Linked DNA regions of Anolis sagrei. The protein of the gene in region 1 binds, or shares a complex with, the protein of each later gene. Links are inferred from orthologs where the notes say so. Each region holds a gene or a part of one and is shown in the gene's direction. Other genes may lie near its edges.

Region 1 (8,102 bases):
TTCTTTAGTTGTTGAAGGCACTTATTGGGCAAAGCCCTCTTACTACATATTAAATATGATGTAGCACTCCATTTTTTTAAAAGTCTATATTTGAAAAATATTGATCATATTTTATTTACTTCCAAGATTTCTGCCAAAATTTCTCAGTAGAGGTCCACAGACAAACTAAACTACTGCCTGCTTTTGCTTTCATTCATTAATTGTTTGGAGATGTATATGCTTTTATGACCCTAGATTTAAGAGGCCATTCACTATTTGAGATGTATAGTGTTTTAGTGAGCTGAGCTCTACACTCAATTGCTTAAGAAAAGCTTTTGAGATAATTACCTGAAGAAGTGAAAAAGATTCCTCCATTATTCATAATGCCATGGATGCCTGCCATCTATAAATCAGGACATATGAGAGCATCCCGGTTTTAACATTCCATCTACCCTCCCCCCAGATTTTTTTTTAAAAAAGTCACTTTTCATATTTGGCATTTTACATACATTTCTGTGCCTCCCTCCAAAGTAAAAAGGGGTGGCACATGAAGTGAGTTGATTAGAAGCCCCAACAACATTAAGTTTATTAACTGAAAATCAACTTACAAATTTGGCATTGGCAAAAGCAAAACCCAATGGACCAGATCTTTGGCTTTGAAAGAGATTTGCTCTCAACCCCTATACCAGTTCCCAAATTGTAGGCTTATGATCTAGACAAAATCTACAGGATCTCATCTCCCCTGGATCTGAGTGCTGCCTTTTCATTATGATTCCATTTGTCGCCAAAATTTCCCTGTAGTTGTTGTTGTGTACTTTTAAGAATGGAGAAAACATGGACTCACATGTCTATTGCATGGAAACTATTAACATCTCCCACTCTTGGCAAGCCTCCTCCTCATCTTGACTGACACCTGCTGGTGACACCCGAGTGCTTAGCAAGTCTCTGCCTCATGGAGCTGCCTCCTTTCCTACCACTAGTCTAAGTCCATTGATTGCTAGCCTCTGCTGCCAGTATCACATCCAAAGTCCAAATCCCTTCCTTTTGTACCATGGGGAGGATGCTAAATCAATTGAATGGCCCTGGCTCACTGCTATGGAATCATGGGAATTGTAGCTTTACAATATCTTTATCCTTCTCTGCTTCTGCCCAAGAATGATGTTCTCTCACCAAACTACAACTCCTATTAGTCCATAGCATTAAGCTGTAGCTGTGAAAAGGGTATCAAAACACATTAATTCTACAGTGACAATGAACCCTACATCTAGGAAATAATTATTTCAGAAATTCTTGCAGAGTTTTTGCCTGTCACAGTTGAAAGCACTGAACTACCTAGACCAGTGGTTTTCAACCTGTGGGTCCCCAGGTGTTTTGGCCTACAACTTTCAGAAATTCCAGCCAGTTTACCATTTGTTAGGATTTCTGGGAGTTGAAGCCAAAGCATTTGGGGACCCAGAGGTTGAGAACCACTGGTCCAGGTAGTTCAGTGCTTTCAACTGTGACAGGCAAAAACTCTGCTTCCTGAGTACTTCTAGATCAGGGGTCCACAAACTTTTTAAACAGAGGGCCAGGTCACAGTCCCTCAAAATGTTGGAGGGCCGGATTATAATTTGAAAAAAAAAAACATGAATTAATTCCTATGCACACTGCACATGTCTTATTTGTAGTGCAAAAAACACTTAAAAACAATACAATAATTAAAATGAAGAACAATTCAATAAATATAAACTTATTAGTATTTCAATGGGAAGGGTGGTCTGCTTTTGGCTGATGAGATAGGATTGTTGTTGTTGTTGTTGTTTTTGTGTGCTTTCAAGTCATTTCAGACTTAAGCTGACCCTGAGTGAGGGCCGGGTAAATGACCTTGGAGGGCCGCATCCGGCCCCTGGGCCTTAGTTTGGGGACGCCTGTTCTAGATGAAAAGGTGGCACTACATGAATATTTCTTTTATATGAAGATTAACATCTCCCTCCCTGGTTACACAGAGGCATGAGAGCAACTACTGTTTATTGTTTATTTGTTCAGTCACTTCTGACTCTTCATAACCTCATGGACCAGCCCACGCAGAGCTCACTGTTGGCCGTGGTCACCCCCAGCTCCTTCAAGTTTAAGCCAGTCACTTCAAGGATGCCATCCATCCTTCTTATCCTTGGTCATCCCCTCTTCCTTTTTCCTTCCATTGGCCCAACATCATTATCTTCTCCAAGATTTCCTATCTTCTCATTATGTGGCCAAAGTAGAGTCTCCCTTATCCAACCTTCTCTCATCCAACATTCTGTATTATCCAACGCAGTCTGTGTCTTGCCCAAATCCATAGCTGTTTCAATATATTGTGAGGTTTTGGTGCTAAATTTGTAAATACAATAATTACTGTATTTACAAATTTATTTATTTACCATGAACTGAATTGCTTTTTCTGTCGATTTATTGTAAAATATTATGTTTTGGTGCTTAATCTGTAAAATCATAACAATTTAATGTTTAATAGGCATTTCCTTGATCCCTTCTAAGTATCCAACATTTTTGCTTATCCAATGTCCTGCCGGCACATTTATGTTGGATAAGTGAGACTCTACTATACTTCAGCTTTGCCTCTAATATCCTTCCCTCCAATGAGCAGCTGGGCATTATTTCCTGGAGTTATGGACTGCTTTGATCTTCTTGGGGAACTACTGCCTCCCAAATGTGGGACTGATTTCTGCACTCTAAATTTGCCTCATTACATTAGGGATGCAGTTTGAAGATAGCTTTCAACTGTGGCGGCCAGGCAACAATCTCCCAGAAACATGCATGAAGGGAAGCCCTTAGTGTACATCAGTGCTCTGTGTCTTGCGCAATCACCATTTGGTCTCAAACTGGTTCCAAGATTTCCTGTGTAATCAGCTGCACAGAGAAATCTATTTCCTCAGTAAATGTTAGAAACTGGGTTGTTGTAGGTTTTTCGGGCTGTATGGCCATGTTCTAGAAGCATTTTCTCCTGACGTTTTGCCTGCATCTATGGTTGTGAGGTCTTGTGAGGTCTTATGAGGATGCCTGGCATAGATGCAGGCAATAGTAAAGTTTATTGATTAGTCCACTGACCATATCAACAATAAAAGACAAAAACAAGAAAATACACAAATAGACACTACTCACTGTCCTAAAACTCCTGTAATAGTGAATATACATTAAAACACAATTAAAACTTGATTATGTTAAAAGTTAAAGATAATTAAATATCATCAGATGCAAGTGAAATATCAGGAGGGAATGCTTCTAGAACATGGCCATACAGCCCGGAAAATCTACAACAACCTAGTCATTCCAGCCATGAAAGCCTTTGACAATATATGTTATAAACTGCCTTAAATGGTCAGTATAGAGGAGTGCCCAGCTGTGAGATCATGACCCACTGCCATGCTTGGGGTCACTCTCAGATCGGAGTCCTTCCTTTCGCAACAGCAAGAGCCCAGGAGGTGATTGCCTACCTAGAGCTGGGCTTGGCCATTTGCGAGCATTAATGGTGCCCCCAGTGGCTCAGTGGGTTAAACCACTGAGCTGCTGAACTTTCTAACCAAAAGGTCACAGGTTCAAATCTGGGGAGCAGCGTGAGCTCCTGCTGTTTAGCCTCAGCTTCTGCCAATCTAGCAGTTCAAAAACATGCAAATGTAAGTAGATCAATAGGTACAGCTCTGGTGGGAAGATAACAGCGCTCCATGCAGTCATGCCAGCCACATGACCTTGGAGGTGTCTATGGATAATGCCGGCTCTTCAGTTTAGAAATGGACATGAGCCCCAGTCCCCAGAGTTGGACACAACTGGACTTACCTTTACCTATCCTTCCCTCCAATGAGCAGCTGGGCATTATTTCCTGGAGTATGGACTGCCTTGATCTTCTTCGGGAACTACTGTCCCTCTTATGTGGGAATGAATTCTGCACTCTAAACTTGTCTCTTTACATTAGGGATATCAGGCCCCATCTAATGCAGCTTCCCTAGATCTAGGGAAGTAATGCTACCCCTTTATTCTGCTTTGGTTAGACCACACCTGGAATATTGTATCCAATTCTGGGCACCACAATTCAAGAGAGATATTGACAAGCTGGAATGTGTCCAGAGGAGGGCGACTAAAATGATCAAGGGTCTGATCAAGCCCTGTGAGGAGTGGCTTAAGGAGCTGGGCATGTTTAGCCTGAAGAAGAGAAGGCTGAGAGGAGATATGATAGCCATGTATAAATATGTGAAAGGAAGCCACAGGGAGGAGGGAGCAAGCTTGTTTTCTGTTTCTCTGGCTTCAAACTACAAGAAAGGAGATTCCATCTAAACATGAGGAAGAACTTCCTGACTGTGAGAGCCGTTCAGCAATGGAACTCTATGCCCCGGAGTGTGGTGGAGGCTCCTTCTTTGGAAGCTTTTAAACAGAGGCTGTATGGCCATCTATCAGGGGTGTTTTGAATGCAATATTCCTGCTTCTTGGCAGGGGGTTAGATGCCAAGGTCTCTTCCAACTCTTTGATTCTATGATTCTATGAAGGTAGCTTCCAACTGTGGTGGCCAGTCAACAAACTCCCAGAACCGCATCTGAAAGGAAGCACTGTCTTGTGCAATCACCATTCGGTCTCAAACTGGTTCCACGATTTCCTATGTAATAATCTGCACAGAGAAAGCACTTTCCTCAGTAAATGTTAGAAAGGACCTTAAATGGTCAGTATAAACGGTGCTCCAGCTGTGAGATCGCGACCCGCTGCCATGCTTGGGGTCACTCTTAGATCTGAATCCTTCCTTCCTTCCTTCCTTCCTTCCTTCCTTCCTTCCTTCCTTCCTTCCTTCCTTCCTTCCTTCCTTCCTTCCTTCCTTCCTTCCTTCCTTCCTTCCTTCCTTCCTTCCTTCCTTCCTTCCTTCCAAGAGCCCGGGAGGTGACTGCCTTCTAGGGCTGGGCTTGAACCTTGTCGAGTTGCCTTCGGCGCGCTGGGCGCTGTCCGCCGCGCCCTGGTGCTGAACCGCGCCTCGCTCCCAGCCCCGTGCGTTGGGCATAGGCGGGGCCAAAGGCAAGCCGCGGAAGCTTTGGGGAGGGCGCCATCTATCTGCCGCGCGGGGCGACGCAGCCGGAGAGGCAAGCCCCTTGGACAACGTCGGAGGAGCGCCTCCGCCAGCTTCCGCGCCCCGATTGGGATCCGAGCGCCCCCAGCGAGCGAGAGAGCGAGCGAGAGAGCGCCTCCCTCCCTCCCTCCGCCCCTCTGGGCAGCGGGAGTGCCCGCCTTCAGCATCTGGATGGCAACCTCTCAGCCCTATCTGCGGAGCAGGGGCTCGGGAAGGGGATGGCGTGGCGTGGCGCGGCGTGGCGAGTGAGCCCCCGGCCCAGGAGGTAAGGAAGGCAGGCGGTGGGGCAGGAGGGGAGGGGGCTGTGTGTGTGTGAGCCGCGGGGAGGGGCGGATTCCCCTTCCAGGCAGGGAAGAGGCACGAGTTTGCCTCTCTCCTTGGAAGTCCTACCTGCAAGTGGGGAGGAACAGGCATCACCCTTCTTCTCCCCCCCCCCCCCCGCCCCCGTTCCCCTCCTGCCTTTTCTCTCCCGTGTTCTGGCTTCCCGCCCTCTGCCAACTCGCGCATCAGCTCCTTCTGCTGAACTCCTACACACACGCGCGCACACACACATACCCCGCTTAAGTATAATCTGAATCTCCCAACGAGATGACGCACGCGGGGAGGAAAAGGCAGCCCAGCGCCTCTGTATTCCGAGTCCACATTTGGTCTGACTTTCTCCAAGTGGCTCCGCTCCGCATCCCTCGCTCCCTCCCGGCTAAGAGTGCGCCCGTCGGGTGCGGTGTCGTGGAAAACGGACCTAACCCAACGCAGAAGTGAAGTTTTAGCAAAAGGGGGACCTGAAGGACATGAGGCTTTGCCCTCCTCGGGGTGGGAGGGATTGTAGACAACCGAAGGCGCGGAGACTATGTGTCCAGGGAGGCAGCGATGAACTGAAGAGTTGTCTCTCCTTCCCTTGGAAAGCAAGGGAGTAGGAATGAGAAACTTTGCCGGCAAGAGCTACCAGGGCAAGGGCACCGAAGGAGCCAACAGGTAATTTTTCTGTCCCTCGCCAGCATCACATCCCCATTCTTTGCCACGCATTTTGTTTGTGTGGACGGTTTCTCTTGGATGTTGCCCTCAGTGCCTAAGGTATGTTTCCAAACCTCTTTCTTTCCAAGAGAGGCGCTTGAATCTTGGTCTCTGAATCCTCTGAGAGGAGAAAGTTGGAAGCGCTAGAGGAGACTCACCAGTCTGATCAGGTTCACACAGTGAATCCACAAGATGGATTGGAGGGTGGTTGGTTGTGTTGATATGCATTCCAACTCAGTAGTTTATCAAGCACAGCAATAACAAGGAAAGCTGTTTAGTCACCTTCCCCGGGGCTAATGACGTTGTCTGAGTCCTGCAACCTGCATCTGGAGAATCCAGAGGTAGGCAAGATCATTAACATTTCTTCTCAAGGACGAATCTTTATCTCTCTTCTCTATGCCTGTGTAGATCCCCTCCTGTATTATATGGGCACTAGGCAATTATTTCCTTTTACTTTAAGTGTGTGTGTGTGTGTGTCAGGAGCAACTTGAGAAACTGCAGGTCGCTTCTGATGTAAGAGAGTTGGCCGTCTGCAAAGATGTTGGCCAGGGGACACCCGGATGTTTTGATGTTTTACCATTCTTGTGAGAGGCTTTTCTCATGTCCCCACATGGGGAGCTGGAGCTGACAGAGGGAGCTCATCCATGCTCTTCTCAGATTCCAACCTCTGTCTTGTCAGTCTTCAGTCCTGCCAGCACAAGGGTTTAACCCTTTATGCCACCGGGGGCTCCAGTTAAGGTCAAGCCATTGGTGTGATGCTGAATGGGAGGTTGGATAGGACAAGTGAAGTTTGCATGCTTTTATCCTGTTGCTTTTTAGCTTTGCTGGGGAAAGAAGAGAGGAAATCCTTTGCAAATAGTTTTATTATTCCCCACCATAGAGAATAAGGGTGATGAGAGATTAATTGAAAAAGGGTGTAGAAGCCTTTCCTGAACTTGCATTTTAAATGAAAGGATACTTGAATCTGGAGCCTGACCCATATTTTAAAAGACAATCAAGTAAAGACTCGGCATAGTATTTTCCACCCAAACTTCTTTTCTATGAAACTCCCATTCTAGTTTGTCAGCTATTATCCTTTAGCACTGTTGTGGTCTGTTTGTATAGATAGTACTTATAAATACTTATAAATCTTTTTAAACAAATCCTAGCTAAGGATGTTCGGAGGCATTCCGAAATATTGGCATAGTTGGCAGAAGTTAATGAGATGAAAATTCATCACTTCTTTCCTGTTCCTCCTGAGTGAACAGGAATAAATATGTGCTCCTCCGGAGTGAATAGGCATAAACTTGGAAGTTCTCTTCTTTGGTGTGCTATCAATTCCAGGAAGAAGTGTGGATTTGTCTTTTCAAAAAGAAATCAAATTATTGTCTGTGAAGCAAGATGTAGCCCAAACAAGGCTTATGTCTATATGCCAAAAGGACAAAAAGGGGGGGGGGGGGAATGGAGTGGCAAGACAGATGAGATCTTTGGGGGAAAGGTCATTTTGAAACAAGAAAGAGAAACTATGTATAGGTTTTGCTGAAGAAAGAGACACTGTGTATAGCTTTTGTTGTATCATTTTGGGTTAACTAGAAAAAATATGGTCTGTTTGCTTCTGCAGTCCATTGAAATTTGCTTTAACTCAAAAGGGTCACTTTGTGCATACAAGCCCTTCTAGTCTTACTCTCAACAGCAGTCTGTTAGATGAAGGGCATTAGGATGACATTGGTGTCTGAAGGCATCATAACAACCTTAACATTATTTCTAACAATGTATGTCTAATCAAAACTCTAAAATTCCCTTTTCATTGTGTTCAATAGGAAGAGAAAAACACTTTTGTAGAATTTACTTCCTTTCTTATGGTGTTTTACATACCTCACAGTCCTTGTTGTAAATGCTACATATTTATGTGTGCACATGTGCATGGGGGTGTTTCTTTACCCTCTTCTCATCTGGCTATCAAAATAGATATCATTTAAAATACTTTTGCACACACTTGAAGATTGTAGAATATTAAAGATTGTTTGCAGTATTTTCCATCAAGTTTTTATTTTGG
Region 2 (7,320 bases), on another chromosome or scaffold:
TGTGAACTACATATTTGCTGGAGTTGTACCTTCATATTTAATACATTTTAGACAATCTAGTGAAAGCTCTTAGGTACCCCATGTTATTCTAGGTGGATTAAGGTAACTGTTGTTTTCATGTGAAAAGGCAAATTAGAAATTTGTTACTATATGCCATTAAACAGGCTTCATATAATGGTGATCCTATGAATGAAAAACCTTCAAGAGATTGGAGTTTCATTATCACATAATATGAAATACATTCTCCAGATCAGCCATTCTAGAAATAATCTTCTCTTCACAGAAATATATTACTTTTTATTATTCATAGTAATTGCTTTTCAGTATGCAGCCATTTGCCATTCGTAGCTCATTTATGATCACAGGAACACTGTGAGAACCATAAAGTATTTGATCCAATCTCATGACTTTGCTTCAGAGTTTGTGGCCAGTATACTTTAGTTAAGAGAGAGAGGTCAGGCACCAGAGCAATGGGGAAATTCTGGAAATTGTGATCTCACAATACCTTGAAAGACAAATTATCTCCACCCCTGGTTTTTAACATTCAGAGCTTGAAATACACATAACGCATCACCAGTAATAACATGGGACAAAGTGCTGTTGGGGGGTTATGGATAAACTAACCTTCACAATTTGGGTAACACCTAGGAAACATGAAAGTCTCTCCATTCCTACTTATGAAGAAGCAGCCATTGAAATCCCCTGTCACTTGGAAAGCAGCTTATTGGTATTCCCAGCCTCCATCATGCCAACAATTTGTGCTGTGAGGGGGAACTCTGACAAAGACCACAATTCTGCAAGAGAGTGGTGGAAATCTTAGTCTGCCACTCTCCAAGTTATAGGGAAACTGACTCCATCAACTGTAGCAACTGCTTTTGTAGCAAGTGACAATGGGAAGAATTGGGCTGGAATTCTCTCATAGCTCTGTACCCACAGTAGTTATACTGTACATTTGTAACTCCTCAATATGATCCAGGCTCCAGGGCCGTAGCCAGAAAAATTTTTTGGGAGGGGTTGAAATTTTCAGGGGGGAGGGGTTGAAAATTTTGCGGGGGGGGGGGGGGGGTTGAAACCTGACTTCTAGCTCACGCTGAAGCATAGGGCACAGCAGGGGGCAGAGCAGCCTTCAATAGCCTGCAGCTCCACCCCTGTCAACCACCTCCACCAAGTCTGGCCTCCTTAATGAGAGAATTCAACACACACACACACACAACTTGGTTGCTTCACTACATCGGCTATTGCTGCAAGTAATGACAGTGTGAATAAATTGTCAATATTTAAGGCCTTGCATGGTCTGGGGCCGATGTACCTGAGGGACCGCCTCACCCCCTACCAACCCCAGAGATCCCTCCGTTCTGAGGACCAAGATCTATTGGAAATTCCCAGTGTCAAGACCTTGCGTCTAACAGCAACCAGACGCAGAGCTTTTACAGCAGTGGCACCATCACTCTGGAATACTCTGCCACCTGAGGTCCGTGCCTTGCGGAACTTATCAGCTTTCCACAGGGCATGTAAGACATATCTTGTATGTGTTTTTATGGTTGGAAACCGGGCTGAGTCCCTCAATGAGGTGAGAAGGTCGGTATAGAAAACTTTGAAATAAATATAAATATAATAAATATCTGTTTCGACGGGCCTTTGATCTCTGATATTGCTGTTTTTAAATTCAGTTCTTGTGGGTTTTTTCGGGCTATATGGCCATGTTCTAGAGGCATTTCTCCTGACGTTTCGCCTGTTTTTAAATTGTTTTAAATTGTGTTCGATTTTAGCCTGTTCTTGTAAGCCGCTCCGAGCCCCAGGGGAGTGGCGGCATATACGTTCGAATAATAAATAAATATTTGCTTGAGATAGTGCTTGTAGTTCTGGAGGGACTCTTAATTTTTTGCATCTCATAGACTTAGCATGGGGATTTGGTTAACCAGTTAAAATTCATGAGTAAACTGGGTTTTTTAAAAAAAAAACCTGAAACATTTCGGGGGGGGGGTTGAACCCCTAACCCCCCCCCCCTCGCTACAGGCCTGGATCCAGCCCATACCTATAACACATTATTTTAGGGGAAAGTGGGCATAATATCATTTTATAGCATTATATAATGATGAATAATACTATTAGATTGTTATAGAATCATTTCCTAATTGATCCTAAAACATTGTTTTTGGAGGAGTCTGATCTGGGACATGTGTTTTTTTTTTATTTTAACTAACTAAAAACATGTCAGCATTACTCATATAGTGTCAAGTGACTACTATTGTCAATGAGACCCTCCCAATGTTTCTCTAGTCATCTTCCTCAAATATTGCATCCTTGACTGTTTTGCCATTTGTAGGATATAAAAGAACAGGAACCAATATGTTTCCCATTAAAGTACAACATCTTTGTCCAAATAGGACATGTTTCCCGACTTTGAATGAATACATGGAATTGCAGATAACAATGAAACCTTCTTTCTGAAGAATACTCGAGAGTTGACTGGAGGATCTATAAAATGCTTAGAGATTATGTATTTTGTCAGACATGGGTGAATAAAACACTGGGTATTGGTCTTACAGATACAGGGTCAAATGCAAGTTCATGTTGAGTAGAAATACATGTGGAGAAGAAGAATTAATCAGTCTCTTCTGCCAATTTGGCCATATTTAAATGTATGACCTGCTGGGTTTGCTTTTGAAAAGGTTTTAGAAAATATAAAAGATATTACTTTCTACACACACACACACAATGAAATTTTGAGCTTTATTAAATATGATCAGATATTTGAATCAGGATCTCATATCATTTCTAAGAAAACAAGATGCTATTTGTGATGTCTATATCTGCCTGTTCTTCAAATTTCACAGAAATTCAGAACACAGATTTATCAACAGGATGTACATCTTAATTTTCCATACTGGGTGAATTTGGGCACACTCTTTCAGCAAAGTCCTTTGAACAAATCTTGCTAATCTCACCATAAGTCAGAAATGACTGGAAGGCACACAACAACAAACACAGAATTATGTTTTATTTAAATTGGATTTTATTTACTGGGGCACTACATTTTGCTTTTCCAACTGGATCATGGAGAAAAAATCTTTAATCAATAGTAGCAGACTAGAGTACATCTGGATCCACTCAGGAACTATGCCAGATTTGGTAGGACTTTGGTATGCTATCCCCGTGGGACACTGGGTAATAAAAGCCCATCCCTTATAATCTTACGCAGACCCTGGATCCTGTGGCCAATACTGCAGCTACTGCTACTAACCCTTCACCCCTCCCCTGTATATATTTACCATAAGGGTCATAGCAGAAGTAGTGCAGTGGAAATAGGAAATATAGCTATGGGGCAGGTATTTCTATCCCACTCATTTCCAAAGCATGATGGGCAACTGGCAACTTATCACACACACAAACACCTTAGTTTAATGGTCTAAAGACATTATATTTGATATTTAAGGGCAGTGAAATTGAGAGACAACCCAGAGACAAGCAGCAGCTGGTTTGGCTGCCTTCATGTTGCCACCCACTAGTGTCTAGAGATGGAGAGCAGGCTTATTGGTAGTAGCTGCAGTAGCAGAATGGGTGATACTTGACAGGAAATGAGAACACAGTCTGGAGCCTTAAAACTATTGGCAAGTGTCTCACCCCAACAACCTCTAATGCTAGTGATATATGCTGTTGTATATAACACATGGTATAGGTGCCATGGAGAGACAGCATAGTGTGGTGATTTGAGAATTTGATTACATCTCTAAAGACCACTGAGTGACCTTTGGCAAGTCTCACTTTCAACCTCAGAAAACCTCATGGATTTGCCTTAGGGCTGCCATAAATTTGAAATTATTTGAAGAGACAACACATAGGTACTATGTTATATATCTATACCATGGTATAGGGGCCCACATCAGAAATTTGTAACAGGAGGCACTTGCCAATAGCTTTGAGACAGACCCCTCACTAACTCTCCAGCCCTCTCATCTCTGTTTTCCTGATCTCCTGTTTCATGTTGCTGATGTTGGATCTATCCTTTGGGTGGTCTGAACAGTTCTTAGGGAGTATTCTCAATTACAAGAAAGCAAAAAGTCATAATCAAATGATCAGGGGGAAAATGGGCATAGGAAGTGACTCAAAATCTTTTTTAGCAAGAAAGGGGGAAGACACTACCATTTGAGCAGAGAGCAACATACAATCTCAAAGGCAAAATAACTCTCGGACCCACAGTTGCTGAGGTTAGCAACATGGTGTTAAGTTGTAAATGAGCAGCATAAACTGTTGAGACAGTTGCCCTGGAAAGGGAGAGGGAGAGGGAGATGGAGGAGAGGGAGAGAAGGAGGGAGAGAAAAGGGAATCAAACTCAGGTTAAAAATTTAGAAGAGAGAAAGGCTGGAAGAGTGTGAGATTGGGGAAAGGCGGAGGAACAGGGACAGGGTGAGACTCACACTCCCGCACAAAGAGAGACAGAGGGACGAAAGAGAGAGAAAATGAGCCATGCACTTAAGGAGCAGCAGGAAGAAAAGCTTCAAACAGCTGATTTCCACCCTGCTTTCAATCCCTGCCTGTCGCTTCACTAGCACACCAGAGCCTACTATCTGGGTGTTATCTGAAAAGATGTGGAGCAAAGGAGAGTCTGAAGGGCTGCAGACTTTAGGGATTGTGGTGGTGATTTGCTCTTCTCTGAAACTTTTGCACTACCTTGGATTAATTGACTTATCAGATGGTAAGAGAACCTCCAAGTTTTACCACCTCCTCTATACTTTTTCTTTAACTATAGTGGCACTCTGAGCTTGCGATTCTGTGCCCAGCTACCCCAAGGGTAAGCTTTGCTGAAATCAGTAAAGACTTACCTTTGAGTAGACATGTATAGGATGGCACTGTGAGAAAGACCATTTCGTTTTTCTCGTATGGCTGTTTTTCCTTCTTCAAATCTCTTCCTTGCTTCATTCTGCAGTGCTGAATTGTGTAGTGTGCTCTTGCAAGCTTCTGGGATTCCTGTTAAGTAGTATGTTTACATTGTGTGTATGTGTGCTCTTTTTCCAGTTCTGAAATTGTCAAATATCTTCCTGTAAGTACTGCTTCACCATCATTCACCTCCTGTGTGGTGATTATGTTTCATTTGGATTAATTGTAAAGCATCTAATTCTTAGGACTCTGAGATGTGCATAGAACATGTTGAGATAGAGAGAAGTAGCTTAAACATGTCTACTCACAAAGAAGTCCCAGGCTATACAGAGGCATGCTTTTCTTTCCACCAAATACACTTTTGGATGCTTTAAAAATTAAATGACAGATGGCCACCCACGACAACTCAGGAGACAAGCAGCAACTGAAATTTTGCTCTCTAATATAAGCCCCCTCCTATTTATTATTGGAAATATTAGAGATGAATAGATTTTTACCTAGGAATGCATGTCAAGTTTGGGGGGGGGGGTTGAATCTGTTTTCCATATCTTAACAAAGTTTAACACTCATGGTTATGCTTATGGAATACATTAAAAATCAATGTATTTTCACAAAAGTGAATGCTCAAAATGAAAATAATAGTATATAATCCCTCTCATTTTACTCTTTTTACTTTTGGGGAGTGGGGCACTGCTAATAAATATGCTATGTTTACTTTCTCGAACACCTGTTTGAAGTTATTCTAAAGGCAGTACTTAACAATTATTAAATTAGGCTGAAACATGAAATCAACGATATATACACAAAACAGTAAATGAGACTGCAGTGTATACACTGAACTTCGGAGGGAGTTCTGCTGAACTTTGGGCTCACTTCAGAGCATGTGATTATATCAATAAAAGTTTGTCCCTTTCTTTATCAAGTAGAGGAGAAACTATCAGAAGACCAATAGTCACCCCTATAGTTAAACTACTTCTGTTCTATCTGGATTAAAACTTGCCTTGGAAAAAAGTAATAAATGCATTTTAATATGCAATTATTATCTAAGGAAATATTGATCTAGGTAAGTATTGACCAACAGTTGTCATTGATCTCAAATCATTTTAAGTATTCTGATTTTAAATGCAATAATAGATCAATTTACCCTGATAGGAAATGGAATCCATTGAGATGTCTGCAAGACAAAATAAAAATGGCATTAATAAACCACCAAAGTAGGATGGTATCAAGAAAGGGACTCACCTTAGTGCATTACGAAAGGAAGCAATTTGAAATTCTGCAGCAGCATGCATTGGCAGAGCCGTCCATGTGAGTGCAAGGTTTCTTTTCTGTTTGTTCTTGGCTGTAATTCCAACTGTGAAATTCTGTTGTTTCCAAAAAGATAAATCACTTGTTTTGTATTAACACCATGCTCCTGGAAAAATCAAATTGCTGTAATCAGTTTGTGGAGGAAGCTCTAGCACAGTGCAATACTAGATCTTTATAAGTTGCAATCAGGGCATAATTGTGTTTCTGAATCATTTACTAGGGCTGCTGCCATCACAAAATCCTGGATGAGAGGAAAATTTGAAACAAGTTTTTGTCTGTTTGTTTGTTTGTCATAGCTAGCGTATTGTGCAAGAGCGCCATTCAGCTTCATTCAAGCACTGCAACAGTATGCCTGTTAAATCTTTGCAGTAAGCAGTCTCTCCTAATCCAACATCACTCTGGGCTGATGGGCTACATCTTTTCTGCAGCTTTGCTTGTTAATTGCTGCTGCCTTTCAGGCTGTAAAACCATGCTCACAGGACTCAGCAGTGTGCTCTGTAACCTGCTGTTAAAAATGCTTAGAAGTTCAGAGTTTATCTTCTCTCAGGCCTCCTAAAATCTTGAGCCGATGCAGAGCCATGGTACTTAGCACCTACATGGAAAAATCATCTGAAATAAACAAAGTAAACTGTAGTTGCAGTATTGTTACATGGGTTAAGGGAATTCATTACCCAGGTTTTTTGAATGCAAGTTGTTTTCCCTCTCTGCCTTCTTTTTTTCTATCATCGTATTTTGACTTTTTGAGAGACAGTGGCAAATATGGTGAACACCCATGACCAAGAAACTGTAGTGTAGGCTGTCTTGCGGGATGACAATTTTATTTGTTTTCTTTTTTAGTATGTATGCTTCTGAAAGGGACAAACTTGTCATATTAGCAATTATAGCAGAGCCGCGGTGGTGCAATGGGTTAAACCCTTGTGCCGGCTGAACTGCTGACCTGAAGACCTGAAGGTTGGCCATGCAAATCCACAAGATGAGGTGAGCCCCCATCTGTCAGCCCCAACTTCCTATGCAGGGACATGTGAGAAGCTTCTCACAGGATGTTAACACCTCTGGGCATTCCCTAGGCAACGTCCTTGCAGATGCCCAATTCTCTCACACATCCAGTATATTCTCAATTTGCTTCTGACACAA

Evidence for each region.
Region 2: the proteins of KCND3 (region 1) and KCNIP1 are in contact, whole or in part, in a crystal structure (PDB 2NZ0), measured with the Homo sapiens proteins. The link is inferred for Anolis sagrei from reciprocal best matches to the Homo sapiens genes KCND3 and KCNIP1. Residues at the interface, in NP_001365898.1 of Homo sapiens: Ala6, Ala7, Trp8, Leu9, Pro10, Phe11, Ala12, Arg13, Ala14, Ala15, Ala16, Ile17, Gly18, Trp19, Pro21, Val22, Pro26, Met27, Pro28, Leu29, Ala30, Pro31, Lys34, Lys36, Arg37, Asp39, Trp54; in NP_001030009.1 of Homo sapiens: Leu67, Arg69, Gly70, Phe71, Glu74, Val80, Phe85, Ile88, Tyr89, Phe92, Phe93, Tyr101, Leu105, Phe109, Phe122, Ala125, Leu126, Leu129, Leu130, Leu138, Trp140, Thr141, Leu144, Tyr145, Ile161, Val162, Ile165, Tyr166, Met168, Met169.

Annotation. Positions count from the first base shown.
Region 1 is NC_090024.1:199,882,309-199,890,410, reverse strand, and holds the start of KCND3 (A-type voltage-gated potassium channel KCND3), read left to right. Parts: upstream 1-5,052; 5' UTR 5,053-5,321; intron 5,322-5,558; exon of another isoform or gene 5,559-6,028; intron 6,029-6,323; exon of another isoform or gene 6,324-6,408; intron 6,409-8,102. UniProt on the Homo sapiens protein: Pore-forming (alpha) subunit of voltage-gated A-type potassium channels that mediates transmembrane potassium transport in excitable membranes, in brain and heart. In cardiomyocytes, may generate the transient outward potassium current I(To).
Region 2 is NC_090022.1:103,582,652-103,589,971, reverse strand, and holds the start of KCNIP1 (A-type potassium channel modulatory protein KCNIP1), read left to right. Parts: upstream 1-4,287; 5' UTR 4,288-4,467; coding exon 4,468-4,696; intron 4,697-4,823; exon of another isoform or gene 4,824-5,255; intron 5,256-6,099; exon of another isoform or gene 6,100-6,164; coding exon of another isoform or gene 6,165-6,186; exon of another isoform or gene 6,187-6,708; intron 6,709-7,320. UniProt on the Homo sapiens protein: Regulatory subunit of Kv4/D (Shal)-type voltage-gated rapidly inactivating A-type potassium channels. Regulates channel density, inactivation kinetics and rate of recovery from inactivation in a calcium-dependent and isoform-specific manner.